Nothobranchius furzeri: one gene and its partners. The main gene of each other region encodes a partner of the protein of the gene in region 2 in a complex. Links are inferred from orthologs where the notes say so. Each region holds a gene or a part of one and is shown on either strand. Other genes may lie near its edges.

Region 1 (4,893 bases), on a different chromosome or scaffold from region 2:
TAGTTTTTTGGTTGGGCCACTTTGAGAATGGACCGTGCGCTGGAAGCAGCTGCCTGGATCGCTGCGCAGCAATGCGCTGTGCCGCTCTCTGCTCAAAAGAGTCCAAAAATGATATAATATAGAAAACTTTTTCCGGCTCCCCGGATGTGTAGGATATACAGCTCCCCCATAATTCGATCCCTGCTCCTGGATGAAAAGCCGGACATTTTCATCAATACAAGAACCCGCAGTCCGGACGCGCCGGACAGAGAGTGAAAAGTGGACACGGCCGGGGAAAACGGAACGTACGGTCACCATAGTCCTCATAAAGCGGGAAATTATAGATACAGTATTGTGCTCGTGCCCTGGGCCCTTTAGAGTTCGTGGGCCCTGGGCAATTGCCCAGTTAATCCGGCCTTGGGCGGAACCGGTTCGCAGCAGTGCGAGTCCCCCCGCTCATCTAATAAGCGTCGCGCTCACGACTTTAGACTCTTTTTTTACGAATTTAGGGCATGTCTAGCCTGTGTAATAATCCGGGACTTGGATGAATCACTTTTGAAAAGTTTTTAATTTACCCGGACACAGAGTTCTCTCCTTCCTCGCTGATGATCCCGACATGCTTGCGTTTAAGACGCTGCATCATCCCGTGCATCCCAGTCTGACCTAAACGTTGCAGGTAACGCATGTCTTCGCCTGATTTAACTGAAAATGCTCCCAAACTTAAAAAGCTTTTACTTTTTTGACTCTCGCTGCTTCTGTCATGTTCCTCTTCCAAACAACTGCCGGCTCTCTCTCGCGCTGATCTGTCTGCGCGCAACGGTGGGCGGGAAGGGGGGGCGCTTTTGGAAGAGTTGTGCGACACAACGAATCGATGACGCAATTCGTTGCCAACGCTTTTAGTAATCGATTTTCATCGAATTCATCGATTCGTTGTTGCAGCCCTACTTTATTATATCAAGGAACTGCTCTGGAGTGGCTCTTATCTCTCTGAGCGCTCCTTCTCTGTGGCCGTCTCCAAGTTTAGGTCCTCCACCACCTCTCTTACCCATGGTGTCCCACAAGGTTCTGTGCTGGGGCCTCTGCTCTTCCTCTTCTATCTGCTTCCTCTTCAGCACATCCTGAGCTCCTTCAAAGGAATCTCCTACCATCTTTATGCAGATGACATCCAGCTGTACATCTCCTTTAAGCCCCATGAGATGTCTAAGCTGCAGATGTTACACACCTACTTAGACTCTATCAAAACCTGGATGGCTGGGAGCTTTCTACAGCTGAATGAAGATAAGACTGATATCCTCATCTGTGCCCCAGACAAGCTGGTTCCCAAAGTCAGAGACTCTCTTGGTCAGCTTGCTTCCCACACCAAACCTTCCGTCAGGAATCTTGGCGTGACCTTTGACCCAGCTCTCACCCTGGATTCTCATGTCAGTTCTCTTGTTCGCTCTTCCTTCTTCCATCTCAGGCACGTTGCTAAGCTGAGTCCCATTCTGTCCCACTCTGAACTTGAGATCGTTACCCCCACCTTCATCTCCTCACGCTTAGACTACTGTAACTCTCTTTTCACGTGTCTGAGCAGAACCTCCCTGAACCGTCTACAGGTGGTTCAGAATGCCTGTGCTCGGCTTCTGACCAAGTCCTCCAAACACACCCACATCACCCCGCTTCTCCTCCAGCTTCACTGGCTGCCAGTCAACTTCAGGGTTCATTTCAAGATCCTGGTTCAGGTCTACAGGGCCTTACATGAACAAGCACCATCTTACATTGGTGATCTTCTTAGTCCCTACACCCCCAGCAGGTCCCTGAGGCCAGTGATCAAAGCCTACTGGTTGTGCAGCACCAGGCTAAAGACCAAAGGTGACAGATCATCTGCTGCTGTGGCCCCCCAGACTCTGGAACTCTCTCCCCCTGAGCCTGAGATCAGTGGACTCAGTGGTCTCCTTCAAAAAGCAGCTGAAGAATCAGCTGTTCAAAGTGGCTTTTGCATGACCTTCTTCACCACTCTCTCTTTATTCTGCTCTCCCCACCTATTCCACTTTCCTCAGGATCCACTGATTTCCCTCTTTCCTATTCACTCTCTCTCTTTACATTTTCTAATCACAATTGTCTATTATTTTTTTGCTAATTTTAAATATATTTTAACAATTTTCTAAATTCTTTTTGATATTTTTACATTTTTTGTTTATGTGAAGCACCTCATGATTTTTATCTTCAGAGGCACTATAGAAATTATATTTTCTTCTTCTTCCTCTTATATTGCAGTTTTTGTGGAAAACAATACATTCATTTTTTTCTCATTGTACACACAGAACCCCTTATTGACAGAAAAACAGAGTTTATGAATGCAGTTTTATGAAAGACTAACTGAAGGGCAGAACGAGCTCTACAAAAAAGAAGTTGAACTTCTTACAGTCCTAGAAAATGCCTTGGACCCACGGATAAGTGAGATAAATAAAAATAATAATTAAAATTTAAGATAATGAGCTTTAAGGGTACATTTTAATAAATTGATTTTGTTAGTTGAAAAAAGCTGAAAGTGATTTAAGGGTTGGAATTTAATTAAATGGGAGATAAATCTACTTTTTGTATCAAAACACTGAATATACAGATAAATAACAGAAAGTAATGGCGGCAACAGCTGGGTAGAGTCTGAGGGAATGGAGTGACCCAGATAACAGCCGATCACTATTGCTGATTTTTGTTTTATTATTAGTTCTTACCAACTGGCTGCACATCTGCCTGGTTAATTCCTGCCCGGTTTACCTTTTGGACTTCTCCTGGCAAAATCACAGAAACACAGAACACAAGATTAATATTAAAACATATTTGTTGGTTAAGATTTTTATTTTATTTTTGCTGGTTTGATTTCTTCACTACGGGATTAAAAACTCTGTCATAGAAAGTCAGTGGTAAACAAGCTAAAGTTAGCTAGCGTTTCAATCGTGTCAAACAACATTTAGCATTGCTGGATTTCAAGTTAAAACACAATATGAAGCAGTTGAGTGCTCGTGTTGGAAAATAAGCACTTACTGTAATCGTCTTTGTGTGTTAGAGGATAAAAAAATATGGGGTAAAACGCAGCGGCCACCGCCGTAACGAAGCCTCCGAATATTAACACTATTTTAGCGTTTTTGGACATTTTCTTACATCAGAGGCGGTCTCTCACCTCCAAGCGTGTTTACTTGCGTTTACAGCGACAGCTTCCGGCCATTACGTCATGATATGTTCTACATAGAAATGTGTCCGCTGAAAATGTTCCCAAACTAGACATCAAAATATTTTCCGTCTTGCTAACTTTTACACATTTTAGCTTCAAAGAACAAAATTGTCTTTGACAATATGAGATAAGTTCATTTATTTGATATGTGTGAGCTTATTATCCAACTGAACACTGAGATTTTTTTGTTTTATTTCAGTTTGCTACTTGCTAAAATTTGTTTAAAAATAACTTATGAAGATTTTTCCTTATAGCAGTTTTTTAAAATTATTTTGAACTATATAAGTGTGAAATAGCATGGGCATGATTTAAACACAATAGGGGGCGCATTTGAATGTAACACCAGTGTTGAACGTCACTCGCGTCACTTCTTTTGGGCTACCAGGGCTTCCGTATGAAATGCCAGTCATTCTAAACAACAACATGATAAGGAAGTGAAGCTGGTGGATTTTGTCGAACGAATTTTCTCATTTTCAGGATGGAAAAAAATATGTTTTTTACAGTTTTTGTGTGTTTTTGTTTATTTTGTTCACATGAATCGACAGCTGAGGATCAGCCCATTCAAACGTTTGTCATTCCTCACAGTCACATGGATGTTGGCTGGGTTTACACCATTCAGGTAGTGGAGGGTGATCTTGAATTCCAAATGAATATGTGTGTTTTCCCCTCTAAACGTGCGTGCGTGCGTGCGTGTGTGTATGTGTGTGTGTGTGTGTGTGTGTGTGTGTGTGTGTGTGTGTGTGTGTGTGTGTGTGTGTGTGTGTGTTTTGCAGGAGAGCATGCATGCCTATGCAGCTAACGTGTACACCAGTGTGACCCAGGAGCTGTCAAAGTACAAAGATCGAAGGTTCATCGCTGTGGAACAGGAGTTCTTTCGCCTGTGGTGGGACACTGTCGCCTCAGACTCCCTAAAGAAACAAGTAAGAACTCAGTTCTTTAGTCAGATGATTGTGTCTGCATTCATCAATGAAAATATCAGCTGAAATTTTCATTCTTGGGGGCTTAGTTACCAGGAAAGACACACATTATGATCCCATTTTAGTTTTCTTGAATCAAAAACACCAAAATAAGACAATCTTTATTTATGGGTACATACATTTGCCCCTGTTTGCTTTAACTAGTGGGGGCGTGAGCCGTGGGGAGGTGCAGTTTAGTGGTACTACATTGTTTGTTTTTAAATAATTCATGCACTTTTATCCTCTGCGGAGCACTTATCTTTATGTTTGGGTTACTTTTCAACACTTTCAGTTCCAGTAAAGGTTAGGACAGAACTATGTGGTGGTCGCGCCCTTTTTTCATTCCAAGAATGTAAGGAAGTTGGAAATTCAACATTCCATGTTGTGACTGGTTGCATCATCCATATGCAACAGGAATGCTGCTCTGATGACCAGCAGCTCTTGTCGTTTGCCTCTAAAACTGTTAAAAAAGAAGCCGGAGTTCTGTATCTCAGGTATTTTTATCCAAACATCTCGTAGACATTTTAAATAAACCTTAAACTTATGTCTGAATGAAAACCGGGATGCAACACATCTAGTTCTTTATCCCGCGAAAGCTCAGCTGACCTTTGTGTGTCGATGTCCTTCCAGGTTCGACAGCTTGTGACAGAAGGTCGACTTGAGTTCATCATCGGAGGCCAAGTGATGCATGACGAGGCCGTGACGGATCTGGACGATCAGATCTTGCAGATGACGGGTAAATCCAGG
Region 2 (4,013 bases):
CTGAGTCCAATAAGACCAGCTCAGTCCCAGTTTTAGTGGACATTTCCTAAGAAGTCAAAATTCAAAAACATGTATTTAGGTTAATGCCAGGGATTATATGAGTTTATCCACTATAATCAATATTTTGTAAGACTGTCTCCATCTAGTGGTCACTAGTGAAACATTCAGCCCATCAAAAAAACTTTCAAACATACTCAGGACGTTGTGGATTGGTGGGCAGAATACTTCAAAGACCTCCTCAATCCCACCGATACGTCTTCCAGTGAGAATGCAGAGTCTGGGGACTTTGGGTTGGCCTCTCAACTCTGGTGCTGAGGTCACTGAGGTGGTTAAAAAGCTCCTCTGTGGCAAGGCTCCAGGGGTGGATGAGATCCGCCCGGAGTTCCTTAAGGCTCTGGATGTTGTGGGGCTGTGTTGGCTGAGGCAGCTCTGCCAAAGCTTGGTCATTCGGGAGGGGCTCGAAGTAGACCCGCTGCTCCTCCACATCGAGAGGAGCCAGTTGAGGTGGCTCGGGTATCTGGTCAGGATGCCTCCTGGACGCCTCCCTGGTGAGGTTTTCCGGGCACGTACAACCGGGAGGAGACCTAAAGGTAGACCCAGGACACGGTGGAGTGACTATGTCTCTCACCTGGCCAGGGAACGCCTTGGGATTCCCCCGGAGGAGCTGGCCAAAGTGGTTGGGGAGAGGGAAGTCTGGGCCTCTCGCCTTAGGCTACTGCCCCCGCGACCCGACTCCGGATAAGCGGATGAAAATGGATGGATGGATCTATTTTTTGAAAGTAGATAAATGTTGCAAAAAGAAATGCCCAAAATTTTTAATTTAGTCAAGCAGAAGAGTCCGCGTTTATTTAAAAAGAAAGCCCCCCTGAAGGACACTTTAGGACAGATCAGCAATAAAGAGGGGTCAAAAGGTCTAAAGCAGGGACACAAACTGGACTTTGTTGAGTCATTTAACACATTAGTTTCAAATTAAAAAGGACAAGATTGTAATCCAGTGACCAGTGCCTTGTTTATTTAAATAATGCAGATTGTGAACAGCAGGGGTTCTCATCTGTTGTCCTCTATGATGATGCTCCGTTTGGGGTAGGTATCTAGATCCACGAATATATAACGAAATTCATATTTCCCCGTTTCTGGGTTCTGAAGTAAGAAACCAAAGACAACAAATCAAAAGACAATGGATGCAGTTTTCCTCTCAGCTCTTAGTATTTGATACCAGCTATTATAAAATGGATATTGTGTGAGCAGATCAGAAACCTACACACCTCCTTCGACTCTGAATGAACAGTTCCTTTCAGGCCTGGCTCGGAGCCTTCAATGTAAAACTTCAGTCTCAAGTGCTTCAGTCCATCCTTCAGATACTCCAGATGACTGAGGCGAAAACAAAAACAGATTAAAAAACAGCATAATCCCAAATAAACACAGTTTTATGCCTAGTTTAGTTTGTACCTGAGATGCTGCCTCCTTCCTCTGCGGGTGGTCTCACCGTAGCACTTGATTGGCTCGCCAAATGCCCCGATTACCTGCACTTTCAAATCAAAAACAGCACCGTGCATGTAACTTTATACTGAAAAGAGCCAAAAGAGTAAATCATTTGTCATTCTCACCTCTGGGTGTGACCTGACTTTATCAAAAGCTTTTGCGTAGACTTTATTTGGGCTTTTGGACGAAAACAGCTCCTGGAAAACCACATACAGCAGTCCACCTAAACACAAACGCACACATTTTTATTTATTTTGACAGCAGCGGGTAAGATCAAATTAAATATGCTGCTAATCACACGTTTGTTTCTGCAGTCTGGCTACTCTCACCTGTCACTCCCAGTCCGATGATCACAACTATCAGGTAGGTGAAGTCTTTACCAGCTTCTTTTACTGGAAGACACCCACAATGAGACTTTAGTAAACAACAGCATGCAGTAATTGGCATAAACTAACCCTAACCTACAGCATTTTGTACCGTGCTGCATAGCAACATAGCGTTAGCATTAGCTTACTCTTCTGGGAAGCTGAAGCTTTGGGGCTTGCGCGCTGATACCTGGACACCGCCGCTTTGTTCTCGTCCTCTGGCCTGCTCCTGTTTCTGGCTGAACAGTGGAGCGGTCTCACAGCCACACGGAGACAACTCAGCGCAGACAGAGGACTATCTGTCCCGAGAAGGACCAGTCCTGGTGTTGTGGACAAAGTCCTGCGCGCGTGAGCTAACAGTCGCAACTGACATGTTTGCGCTGCCGCTGTGTGTTGCAGACTTCGGTGTAACAAGGCTTTTAAAGGGTGAAGATACGCCATTATTGTCAATAAACCCACATTGAGGTGAACGGCAGTACAAACTACAGCGGCTGGCCTACTATAGTGTATAATTATGTCACCGTGACGTTTAATTATAGAACATTAATCGGCTAATGTCACACAAACAAAGCTGGTTTAGGTCGCACCAATATGGCGTAGCTTCTTCTTTGTTGTCTTTATTAGGAGTAAACAAATCAGCTTGGACTACCTCCACCTACCGGACAAAAACGAAACAACAAGCTTGCAATACCAGGAACATTTCCCCCCATTTGTTATGGTGGCTCTTGTGTAAATCCTTGTGAGTCGTTTTCTGTGAAGAAAAAAGTAAAACATTTGCTCTTCTGTTTCAGTAAGTAGAAGTTAGATGGAGCAGAGATCTGAAATGTTCAGCTAGCTGCTAATATTTCCTGCTTTAGCTCATTGATTCCATCTGGTTAAACACAGATACATTAGATATATTTATTGAGTTTTAGTAGTTAAGTAGTTTGAATAAGAGAAGATGTTCTGGCTTTCTCATTATCTGGACTAAACTATGCTATGTTTTATTTTGAAAGAACATACAGGAAGTAATAATGAGTATGGTCTTGTTTAGCTTTATTAACATTGACTGTAGTAACAGTTTTTGTCTTCCAGAGGACGGAAATATCCTTAATCTTAAAAGCCATAGACTGAAGGACTGAGTTCGATCTACATGATGCAGGAAACGTTCACATCCTGGTACTTCTGAGAAGAATTTACAGGAAGTGTACTAATTATTGTAACTTTACAAGTGCAGTTCCCCATTCTCCTCTTCCCTTTCCTCATTTAATCAATACATTTGCAGTAGTCTCTAGTAGGAATAAACATCTCGTGTGTCATACTCTGGGGAAAGAAAACACCGGCGCACCATTTTCAGGAACTAGAAGTGAGCCACATCAGAGCTGAGCTTCAAACGGCGGCTTTTCCGGAACTGCGCTGCTCTGGGTGGCTGCATGTTGGAGTAGCTCTGTTGACTATATGTAAGTTTTGTCTTTTCTTGGGCATTTTTTCTTATAGTTTCTCAAGAAAAACTGTATTTTTTGGACACTTTACTTTTCTGTTTCTGGTGCTGTGAAGCTTGGAGGATTTTTACTGCTATTTCTTTTAGCTTTTTTCACTTTTTGAGCATTTGTTATGATGCATAACCATGGCAACAAGCTGGTTTACAATCGATAGCAGCTGATTAACATTGGAAAGGCTGAAATAATACCTCAACTGAAGCCACAAATCCCAAATGAGCTAAAACGCAAGAAGCGTGGGTGCAGAGCGGGAGCAAAACGGAGATGGAGAAAGAGGAAATTCAAACCATCTCTTCCATCGATCATAATGGGCAATGTGAGATCACTGGCCAACAAGATGGAGGAACTCCAAGCCCTTTCAAGGACTCAGCCAGAGTGTCGGCAGTTTCGGAACCACTGGAGGAGATAATGTAAAGAAGGATTCTCCAGAGAATCAAGAAACTTAAGGACAACCCTGAGCATTCTCTTCACAAGACTGTCCGACAACAGAAGAGTGTCTTCAGTCAGAGGCTTCTTCAGTTTCAATTCAATTCAAAAATACTTTATTAATCCCAGAGGGAAATTGATTGCTGTAGTAGCTCAGAATAATAATAATAATAATCAAGTCATCAAAGAGTTATTGTATATTACAATGGCTGTTGGCAGGAAGGATCTCCGGTAGCGGTCAGTGTTGCAGCCAAACTGAAGA
Region 3 (5,000 bases), on a different chromosome or scaffold from region 2:
CTGAATTGGAATGTTTATTATGTGAAGTACCTTGAGACGACTCTTGTCGTGATTTGGCGCTATACAAATAAACTTGAATTGAATTGAATTGAATTGAATTGAATTGAATTGAATGGAGATGTTCCAAACATGATGTGCAGTCAGTGTGAATGGCAGTCCACCTGGAAGCCATACGAAAATGAACCACACACATTGTTTGTGTAAACATGGCCTTACTCCTTATTCACACAGAGTGCAGAATTGTTCCATAAACTCAACTTTTCAATTTTTAAAGTGGAGATTTTCTTTCATGTGTTCTACTTGATGCTGTTCATGTGAAGCTGCATGGCAACTCTGGCTGAAAAGGTAACCATCATCTGAGCATACTCAGACATGGAAAAGGGGAGCATGAGCATTACCAGCAACTGTTTATCTCTCCAAACCCTGCTTCAGCCTCTGCTTCCATATTTGGTCATTTCTCAATGAGAGTTTGCTTTGCAAGTCATTCCTTTCCCCCTTTCTAATAATGGGCTGCATGCCAGCTGTCTGTCTCTTGGCTGTAGCTGCTCCTCTGACCAGCAGCGTCAGTCTCTGATGGAGAAAAACAGGAGAGGGAATGAAAACATTCCGTTAAATGCTTTAACACTAACACACGGGCTTGCAGAAAAATTATGTCAACGTTTAAAAGCAGAAAAGAACTTTAATAGTACCAACTTGCGGTTTATAAGAAGTTTGTATTACAGTTTTTTTAAATGCCTGGAACATTCATTTAACCATTTTTTATGAAACAAAGAACAAAGTGGATTTTTTTCCACAGCTTTACCCTGTCAAATCAGGAAAACTTGAAGGTATTAAAGCTGCTTTAAGAAACTTGGAAAACAAATTAGCTTAAAACATTTTTTCATCCCTTTTTACAATCTTCTAACATAGTATGGCTATAAAATATTATGTAGTAAAAAGGGTGGCTTTTCTGAGGAAAATAGCATATAAAACATTTTTTCAGTTATTTAATCTTTTTTAGTTAAGTACATAACTCCACATGTGTTCATTTGTAGTTTTGATGCCTTCAGTGAGAGTCTACCAACGTACAGTAAATGGTCATGAAAAATAAAGAAAACATATTGAATGAGAAGTTGTATCCAATCTTTTAGCCTGTACTTTACACACACACATATGTGTGTGTGTGTGTGTGTGTGTGTGTATATATATATATATATATATATATATATATATATATATATATATATATATATATATATAGAGAGAGAGAGAGAGAGAGAGAGAGAGAGAGAGGGGGTCATATGAAAATTGTTACATCTATAAAACAACATTGGAGAAAACAGAGCATGAACATGGAGCATGAATGTGACACTGTCAGAAATCTTTCCGTGAATCTTTGTTCCGTTTGGTATAATCCTAAAAGAGAAAAACTGCATTGTTTTTATAAACAATCTTATCTTTACAAAGTATTATTAGTATATAGACCTACATACATGTACATATGCCTAGTCTCACCCAATGGCGTTTAAAAATTATCTTCCGTTTTACAAAAATGTTTGAAACTAATTCTCTTGCAATTAGGCTTTACACATTCATAGGACAACTTAATTTTTATCGATTTCCTTCTATTTAGTATTTGTTTTTCTACTGGTTTGGTATTCCATGTTTGTTTCATTTGTACTTTGTACCTCTTTTTATTTTCGCCCTTATGTGTTTTAATATATATGTCACTACAAGGTTTTGCTTCTCTTTTAATTTAGTGTCTTGAAGGAGCGTGATTAAAGTCCTGTGTTGAAAATTTGTCATTGTTCATTTTTTTTCAATAAAGTTTTTCTTTTTTAAGGAAGAAGTGACGTTACGTTACGTCAGTGGTAACAGCTAAAGAACAAAATGGAGGAATATGCCAGAGAGCCGTGGTAAGTTTCAAAATAACGATAAATGTTACAGTTTACGTTGTTTTAATAAAATTAGCCAATTTTATCTAATTTAAAATGAGCATTGCATTTAGTTTTCATCTTTATATTTATTGTTAAAGCTTGTGGCACATCCCGATACACCTGGAAAAAAAAATACCGGCTGGCCAATTTAGCTCAAATGCTAATTTCTCCTTGAGTTTAATGGGCTTTTGTGCTAGCATCAGAACGGAAAGGCTAAATCACGTTGTTGGTGACCTTGCCGTTTTTCTCGTCCACATGTCATCAAAGTAAATTCAGGAACTGAAGTTACGCTTTGTGAATTATAAGTGTCACAGTTTATATTAATCACTAACAGCATTTATAAAAGTTATCGTCTTCAGATATTGTTAGGCTATTAGACATTGTTGATGTAGCTGTTAGCTCAGTTAGCCACCAGTGTGCTAACCATCCGGATATTACACAACTTGTAATTTAAGACAAAATCGTATGATCAGACATATACATATCAAACGTTCTGAGATACTCCTATTGAGTTATATTAAATATGCCTAACACTGGAACACCTTAGTTGTCTAGCTGGGTCATCTTTATAAAAACAGGTTTAACAAGAGATCATTTAAAATTTGACAAATGCTGTTTTATAGCAAGACATTTTGAGGGTTAAATTAGGTTAATGTTTGAAATCCAAGACAGGGAAAAATGCCTTTTAATCATTTCCAGTGAGAAGAAGTTGGCTTTATATGTCAGCTGTTAGTTTGCTGCTATTGAGTGTTTTAAAACTGTTTATGATGCTGCTTTGTTAATCCACTCATACAATGATCTCTCTCAATAACTGGGATCTTAGTATTGTAACACATGTAATTTGTTCATTTTTGTTCAGACAAAAATGTCAAAAAACATACTTTGACAGGTATGGCAGATTTGTAGAGTTTTTGTAAAGCTGAACATTTCTAAGTGTAGTAAATGAAGTGTAAGAAATGAGCTCAAAATTTCATCAGTCTTCAAATTGTGTGATGAGAGTTGCGTCATTCTTCAGGTGTTATTCTAAACCAAGTCCAGGTTCAAAGACTTGACTGAAAAAATAGTCTGACTGAATCAGACATGAAATTTTTTCAGAAAACTTTATTTTAGAAAAACTGCATGAAATTGGTTCTTGGATGTTAAATATAAATGAGTTGAAGAAAAACTTAGGGGGTTATCGCTCAATTTCTGTCATCTGTTTTCATAAGAGTGGTTACCAGAATTATTCAAACATCACATAAACAGAACAGTTTAAAAGACATAGTTATCAGTGTCTGTGTACTCTGTCACCAGACCTTTTGCTGTGTTTAATAATTCACATTTTGTTCCTCTTTGGTATAAATCAAACTCTTTTAAGCATTTCTATTTGTTGCACCTATCTCTATTTACAGTTCTGGCTGCAGGGCTAGGGATCGCTCATCTCAGTAAACTCTTCCCTAATTACATCTCTTTTTTCCCCCCCATAAAATTGACACAAAAAAGTTTTTTTCTTGAGGCTTCATAGTTTGTTTTAATCTCAATAGTTCTGTGTGTCCCGTATAGTAAATGCTACAGTTCCAATTAAGACTGTGTGTTTATTTGAACTTCAGCTTGGAAGCACACACTTCAAACATCATCCATGACTGTGTTGCATTTTAACACTAAAATAAAGTTTTCTTGAGACTTTTTTTAGATCAGAATTTTGAATTCTGTTTTTTACTTGTAGCCCCTGGAGGATTGTGGATGACTGTGGTGGAGCTTTCACCATGGGAGCTATTGGTGGAGGAATTTTTCAGGCTGTGAAAGGCTTCAGAAATGCACCTTCAGTAAGTTAACCAACAGTGTTTTACAGGGTTCCCTTTTACACACTCACATGAAGACTAGCCTTGACATTTAATGGCTTGGTCAAGGATGCTGGATGGGTCCAAATCCAGGGATAGTATCCTAGTAAGGACCTGGATTACCCGGTCTGTTGGGTTGGGCATCGATTGGAACCGGGACTAACCGTCAGTTTTTTCCAGAATCGTTCAGATTTAAGGCTGCTGACCGGAAGAAGAATCTGTTGTCGATCTCCGTGAAAAAAGCATGATATGCAAATTCTGATCAATGCCTTTCAGAGCCGATCATACCAGCTATCTGTCGGTCCTACTCGCAGCCCGCAGAGACCCTGAGAGCAGCATTGCGTCCCCCCTCCTTAGCCTCACACTGCGCAGGTGCGCAGCGGCTAAAATGTAAACAAACTTGTCTGCAGAACTTTTACTCTGTGATGTAAACTTTAATTCCTGCAGTGAAAAATGCATCGTGGAGGAAGCTCGTAAAAATGTGTTAACATAGTGGATTTAATGAAAATTTTGAAGAACAAACTCCAGGCAGTGTGAGGTGAGTTTGGCTTCCTGCAGAAATAAAAACACGGAGCATCAACAGTCAACTGCAGCCACTCACCAACACTCATCTGTGTGAGCGTGACCGTCGGAAGACTGAGCAAATTACCTAGAGCTAGATCAGCCGTTCTCTGTGGCGGATGACTGACACCGATTTCTAGCCACTAGTCTGTCCTTGATATTTGGGGAAAACAAGGACACATTTTGAGTTTCCTTCATATTTGGAAGGCCTTGTCACTTTTCTGTGGCATAATCAACCTTAAAATGTGGCCTTGAAAGGATGCAGCCTCTGGATTTATGCACAGCCCCATAAATGCAACTAGAGGGCTGTGGTCTGTGTTTATCTGAATCAGAAAAGTTGATTGTAGTTTTTAGATTTTTAATTGTATCGAGAAAATCACTTCAACTCCTGAGCTGAGAATCATTCAGCACTGATCCATGTTTCGTCCTTTTCCAGGGGATGAGTCACAGGATGAGGGGTAGTTTAACCGCCATCAAGACCAGAGCCCCACAACTAGGAGGTAAGAGAAAAAGAAGATCAGAAACAAGGGATGTATGGGTTAGGGTGTATTTGAACTTATGCAACTGAAGTGTTGAGGGCATTTTGACTACGTCTCCTGGCCTGGTTTGGTCATGTGAGCTGCAGATCTAAGGCTAAACTTTTATAAATTATCTCATGGGCAGACCACAACAAACCATCCCCAAACACGCTGCTGAAAGGACG
Region 4 (4,710 bases), on a different chromosome or scaffold from region 2:
ATCTTATTTGATTTCTTTTCTAACCAAACGGTTACAGATCTCACGTGTGGAAACGCAAATTCCACCTTAAGAGCAGGAGCGAAGCACTAGCTCTGGTTAGCGGTGACTGTCACCGCTGACATTTAAACAGAAGAAGAAGAAAAAACAAACTCTTCAGGGTAAAATCCGCTGAGCACACAGAACAAAATGTCACAAATGCACCTGATTACGTGTGTCCTCTGAGCCTGCTGGACTCTACAACACCAGCTCCGGAGGAAACGAGTGGTTTGATCAGTAAGAGTTACGCTTACAGGCTTTTTCTGAAGACTTTTCCTACAGAAGAAACAAAACAAGCAAATGGTTTCCCCACCATGCAGGTCTTGGAGAGGAGCGTGTTGACTGCTGGCTTCAGCCACTGGTCTTTTACTAGGTTTCACAAACAAACTGCAGCTTTAAAAGGCTGCAGAGATGTTCAGGAGGACCAGCGTGTGGGAACTCGAGTAAGAGCTGAGCTTCCTGCAAACCTCTTCCAGGAAAGACCTAGTCTTCTAGCGAGATCCTCAAACGTGATGCAAGCGCGGCTGTGAATGAGCGTGCATCTGGGCTCTCACTGGGCTATCTGTGACTGCTGGGGGCGCCTTTTCAAATCAAGAGGGAATTTCCAAGGATTCTCATTGTCCTTGTCTCGTGTTGCTGCCATTCTGAACAGGTCCTAACAAGCGTTTGTCCCAAAATAATAACAGACGTCTTGCTGCTGATGTCTGGAACCTTCGTCCATTCAGCAGTATGAGACCATTTTACAAAGGGTCCATTAATAAATCTGGAGTCAAATCAAAGAACATTAAGACAACAAGAAAATTAGCATCACTGCGGTAAATAAGCTCCACACGACCCTGTCCACATTCACGCTCCGCCTGTGTGGCTGCCAGCAGTCTCGGGCCAGCGACATCAGCTCATCCAGACAGTGGAGACAGGAGGGTTTTACGCTGAGAGCTCGTGTTTCCACGCGGACTCCAGAAGAGACCAAACATGTTCTCCCCATGTTTTAAACATACGTGTTTAAATCATTATGAATAATGAAAGCATTTATGTGAAACTCAAACTAGATATTTAAGCATAAAGACGACAGCGACAACTCTCGCACGTAAACATTTAAACACTGACCCTGAGGTTCTACAGCCAAGTCCTAAGGGCATTGCTGCTCTGGTCTACAGCTGGACTCAACCCTCTACTGGAACAGCCCTTTTGGGCCCTGCTGCTGGCTATGGGGGGGGCCCTCCGTCCTTCGGAGGAAGCTGACTGGGGTCCTCTGCAAAGGGAACGGCTGGAGACAACAAGCAGAAAGAAGTGAACTTGTCAGGCTTTTCTTGGACGTGCTGCAAGTATCCTACTGGTTATCGGTTTCAAACGACAGATGGCTTAACTAAAACCCAAAAGTGGTTTAAAGATGTCTGCAGGTGTTCAGTTTGAGCACCTGGTGTATATTACAGAGACGGGAAAGGCACTCACGGTTCTGAAACTGCTGGGCTGTGTATCTGGTTAGGAGAATGCCAAAACCTTCTATGAGAGCGAGTAAAACCCCGCCCATCATGGCCGAGCCCATCATGGTCAACGGCCCACCTGAGGCAAACCAAAACATTTGGTGAGTTACTGAGTTCCTGTCTAGTGTTTGGTTGTTGAGTGTTATCCTCACTGCGTGCTGCTAGAATGGCTCCAGTCAGCGCACCACTTGTTATAGAGTTCCACGGGTCTTCTTTCCCTCTCAGGCGAACCAAGCCACAGTCAATCGTAGAGAAGAGACCTCCCCATACGGCAAAGCTACCTGGTAGAAGAAGCACGTCAGTGCTGAAGCTCAGTTTAGAGAAAGGGACCAAAATCCTTCAGTGGTGTGTGAGGAGCAGAGCAGCAACGGGTCAAACCTCCAATCTGTGGGGCCCTCACTCTCACTGCCTTTGCACTTCCTCTTAGTCTGTGTCCAACACCCTGAAATGTTACAGACAGGTTTATAAAGGCTTCCAAGAAGTCAAGTCAAACTAGTCTGTTTTAAACTCACAGCAGGGGCATTTCGGAAGCCCTTGATGGCCTGGAACACCCCTCCACCGATGACACCCATGGAGAAAGCTCCTCCACAGTCGTCCACAATCCTCCAGGGGCTGCAGGAGGTTAGGGGAGGACACACAAGACACCGTCAAAATACAAGATATACAGTCAGATCAGGATACAGACGTCAACGGAACTGCGCTGCTCTGGGTGGCTGCATGTTGGAGTAGCTCTGTTGACTATATGTAAGTTTTGCCTTTTCTTGGGCATTTTTTCTTCTAGTTTCTCAAGAGAAACGGTATTTTTTTGGACACTACTTTTCTGTTTCTGGTGCTGTGAAGCTTGGAGGATTTTTACTGCTATTTTTTAGCTTTTTACACTTTTTGAGCATTTGTTATGATGCGTAACCATGGCAACAAGCTGGTTTACAATCGGGAGCAGCTGATTAACATTGGAAAGGCTGAAATAATACCTCAACTGAAGCCACAAATCCCAAATGAGCTAAAACGCAAGAAGCGTGGGTGCAGAGCGGGAGCAAAACGGAGACAGAGAAAGAGGAAATTCAAACCGTCTCTTCCATCGATCATAACGGGCAATGTGAGATCACTGGCCAACAAGATGGAGGAACTCCAAGCCCTTTCAAGGACTCAGCCAGAGTTTCGGCAGTTTCGGAACCGCTGGAGGAGAAAATGCAAAGGAGGATTCTCCAGAGAATCAAGAAAATTATGGACAACCCTGAGCGTTCTCTTCACAAGACTGTCCGACAACGGAAGAGTGTCTTCAGTCAGAGGCTTCTTCAGTTTGGCTGCAACACTGACCGCTACTGGAGATCCTTCCTGCCAACAGCCATTGTAATATACAACAACTCTTTGATGACTTGTTTATTATTATTATTCTGAGCTACTACAGCAATCAATTTCCTCTGGGATTAATAAAGTATTTTTGAATTGCATTGAACGTAAGCACGTATATATACGTGGATTGACAGCAGAACTCACAACGCGTCTCTGTTCTCTCACATGTTTATGTTTCACTAGAAAAACCAACACTGGTATGTATGTTAGCCGTATTTAGTTTACAGTTAAAGACAAACTAATCTTACCAAGGTTCGCGGACATATTCCTCCATGTTTGTTTTCGTCTAGACGTTGTGACGTCATACACGTGCGACCGGCGCTACTAGTGCGTTGGCGGTGCTAACATCATTTTCTCTGCTATTGGGTGAATTTCTTTATCTCAGGTAAACTTGTTCCTGTTCGGATCCCGTTTTGAAGCGTAAACGTTCAGATTTTCGTTCCTTCCGGGCATGGAAGTACTTACGCAGTCTGCTTGTTGATTTAATCATCCAGCGGTTGCTAACAGGGTTAGCCTTCGGGTAAACGTTTGTTGTTCGTGCAAATAAATGCAGATTTTACGAATGTCAGACTGTTTCTACATCTGTAGTTAAAGTCTTTAAAAATAACACAACTCAAATGTTGAACATAACTTCAACTGAAAACGTAAGAACAGCATTTATTCAAATTGTATTGAAAGCCCGACGCCTTTTACTGCGTGTGCTGTTGGGAGCTTTATGTTCTCCATATTTCATTACAATGTTTTATCTGAAAGGTTTCTGTTCAGATGTTTATTTGTTATAAATTAACTCGTTTTTGTACGTAATTTGGCAGTAAAGAGACGTTTTGTTTATTGGGATAAACCCCGTTGTGTATAATTGAGGCTGTATACTTTAAATATCAGAACACATGAGAAACAAGTAAATTTTCTGTATCTTTGCTGTGGATTTATGAAACCACTGACCTCATGTACAGATGTTCGAGGTGACTGTTGTGACAGCATCTCGTGTTTTTCAGGATGCCTCTTCCTCCAGCTCTGCTGGCCCGCTTGGCCAAGAGGGGGATCGTTAAACCAACAGAACGAGGTTCTCATTTGGCTTGAACACGCTGGCTCCATGCATCCTTCTCTGTGACTTTACACGTATGTCGTGTAACAGTATTTTCTCCTTTAATAACAGGTGCAGATGAGGAGATTATTGCCGAAGATTATGATGACAATAATGTAGATTATGAAGCCACCAGAGCAGAGAATCTTCCTCCAAACTGGTACAAAGTGTTTGATCCAGCTTGGTACGTACACTGTACTGGTTATCTACGGTTCTTTGGTAGTTTTACCTCCAGTGCGCTTGTGTTTGGGTGTTTGCAGTCCAGATGAAGCTTTCCAGTGAATTCACAAAGCGATGTCATTGGGTCTCTTTTACATGTTTAGTATGTAAGCTGATTAGCCTTCTCTTCCTGATTTCCTGCCACCCTCAGTGGTCTTCCTTACTACTGGAATGTTGAGACGGATCTAGTCGCCTGGCTGTCCCCAAATGACCCCTCGTCTGTGATAACAAAAGCTGCCAAGAAAATGAAAGGTGGGTTTAAAAACTAAACTCGCCAGTTTTGCATAAGTGTCTTTAAAAAAGAAACGAGGAATGTTTTTCACAGAAATTGCATTATTATTTGTTTTTAGCTGATTTGGGAGATGAAAGAGGAGAGCGACCGTTTGAGAAGCCAGACAGAGAGAGAGAACGGGAAAGGGACAGAGACAGGGATAGGGACCGGGAAAGAGAAAGAGATCGGGACAGAGACAGGGACAGAGATGATGGGCGGGACAGAGACAGAAGAAAGCAAAGGAGGGACGACATGGCACCATA

Evidence for each region. The genes of interacting proteins can lie anywhere in the genome.
Region 1: timm21 (region 2) and smim20 share a complex: the UniProt entries of both Homo sapiens proteins name them as parts of the MITRAC (mitochondrial translation regulation assembly intermediate of cytochrome c oxidase complex) complex. The link is inferred for Nothobranchius furzeri from reciprocal best matches to the Homo sapiens genes TIMM21 and SMIM20.
Region 3: timm21 (region 2) and timm17a share a complex: the UniProt entries of both Homo sapiens proteins name them as parts of the TIM23 complex. The link is inferred for Nothobranchius furzeri from reciprocal best matches to the Homo sapiens genes TIMM21 and TIMM17A.
Region 4: timm21 (region 2) and timm17b share a complex: the UniProt entries of both Homo sapiens proteins name them as parts of the TIM23 complex. The link is inferred for Nothobranchius furzeri from reciprocal best matches to the Homo sapiens genes TIMM21 and TIMM17B.

Annotation. Positions count from the first base shown.
Region 1 is NC_091742.1:58,395,564-58,400,456, forward strand, and holds the start of smim20 (small integral membrane protein 20), read right to left. Parts: upstream 3,206-4,893; 5' UTR 3,113-3,205; coding exon 3,004-3,112; intron 2,751-3,003; coding exon 2,694-2,750; intron 1-2,693. Other genes in the region: man2b2 (epididymis-specific alpha-mannosidase), read left to right, coding at 3,669-3,809, 3,964-4,110, 4,777-4,882.
Region 2 is NC_091747.1:54,072,917-54,076,929, reverse strand, and holds timm21 (mitochondrial import inner membrane translocase subunit Tim21), read right to left. Parts: upstream 2,478-4,013; 5' UTR 2,289-2,477; coding exon 1,997-2,288; intron 1,875-1,996; coding exon 1,812-1,874; intron 1,706-1,811; coding exon 1,608-1,705; intron 1,524-1,607; coding exon 1,450-1,523; intron 1,372-1,449; coding exon 1,266-1,371; intron 1,141-1,265; coding exon 1,048-1,140; 3' UTR 985-1,047; downstream 1-984. UniProt on the Homo sapiens protein: Participates in the translocation of transit peptide-containing proteins across the mitochondrial inner membrane.
Region 3 is NC_091743.1:60,934,907-60,939,906, reverse strand, and holds the start of timm17a (mitochondrial import inner membrane translocase subunit Tim17-A), read left to right. Parts: upstream 1-1,795; 5' UTR 1,796-1,869; coding exon 1,870-1,895; intron 1,896-3,621; coding exon 3,622-3,721; intron 3,722-4,733; coding exon 4,734-4,797; intron 4,798-5,000. UniProt on the Homo sapiens protein: Essential component of the TIM23 complex, a complex that mediates the translocation of transit peptide-containing proteins across the mitochondrial inner membrane.
Region 4 is NC_091755.1:41,959,666-41,964,375, forward strand, and holds the start of timm17b (mitochondrial import inner membrane translocase subunit Tim17-B), read right to left. Parts: upstream 3,206-4,710; 5' UTR 3,148-3,205; coding exon 3,122-3,147; intron 2,697-3,121; exon of another isoform or gene 2,588-2,696; intron 2,133-2,587; coding exon 2,033-2,132; intron 1,963-2,032; coding exon 1,899-1,962; intron 1,802-1,898; coding exon 1,673-1,801; intron 1,600-1,672; coding exon 1,489-1,599; intron 1,304-1,488; coding exon 1,242-1,303; 3' UTR 1-1,241. Other genes in the region: pqbp1 (polyglutamine-binding protein 1), read left to right, coding at 3,870-3,936, 4,030-4,141, 4,328-4,428, 4,527-4,710. UniProt on the Homo sapiens protein: Essential component of the TIM23 complex, a complex that mediates the translocation of transit peptide-containing proteins across the mitochondrial inner membrane.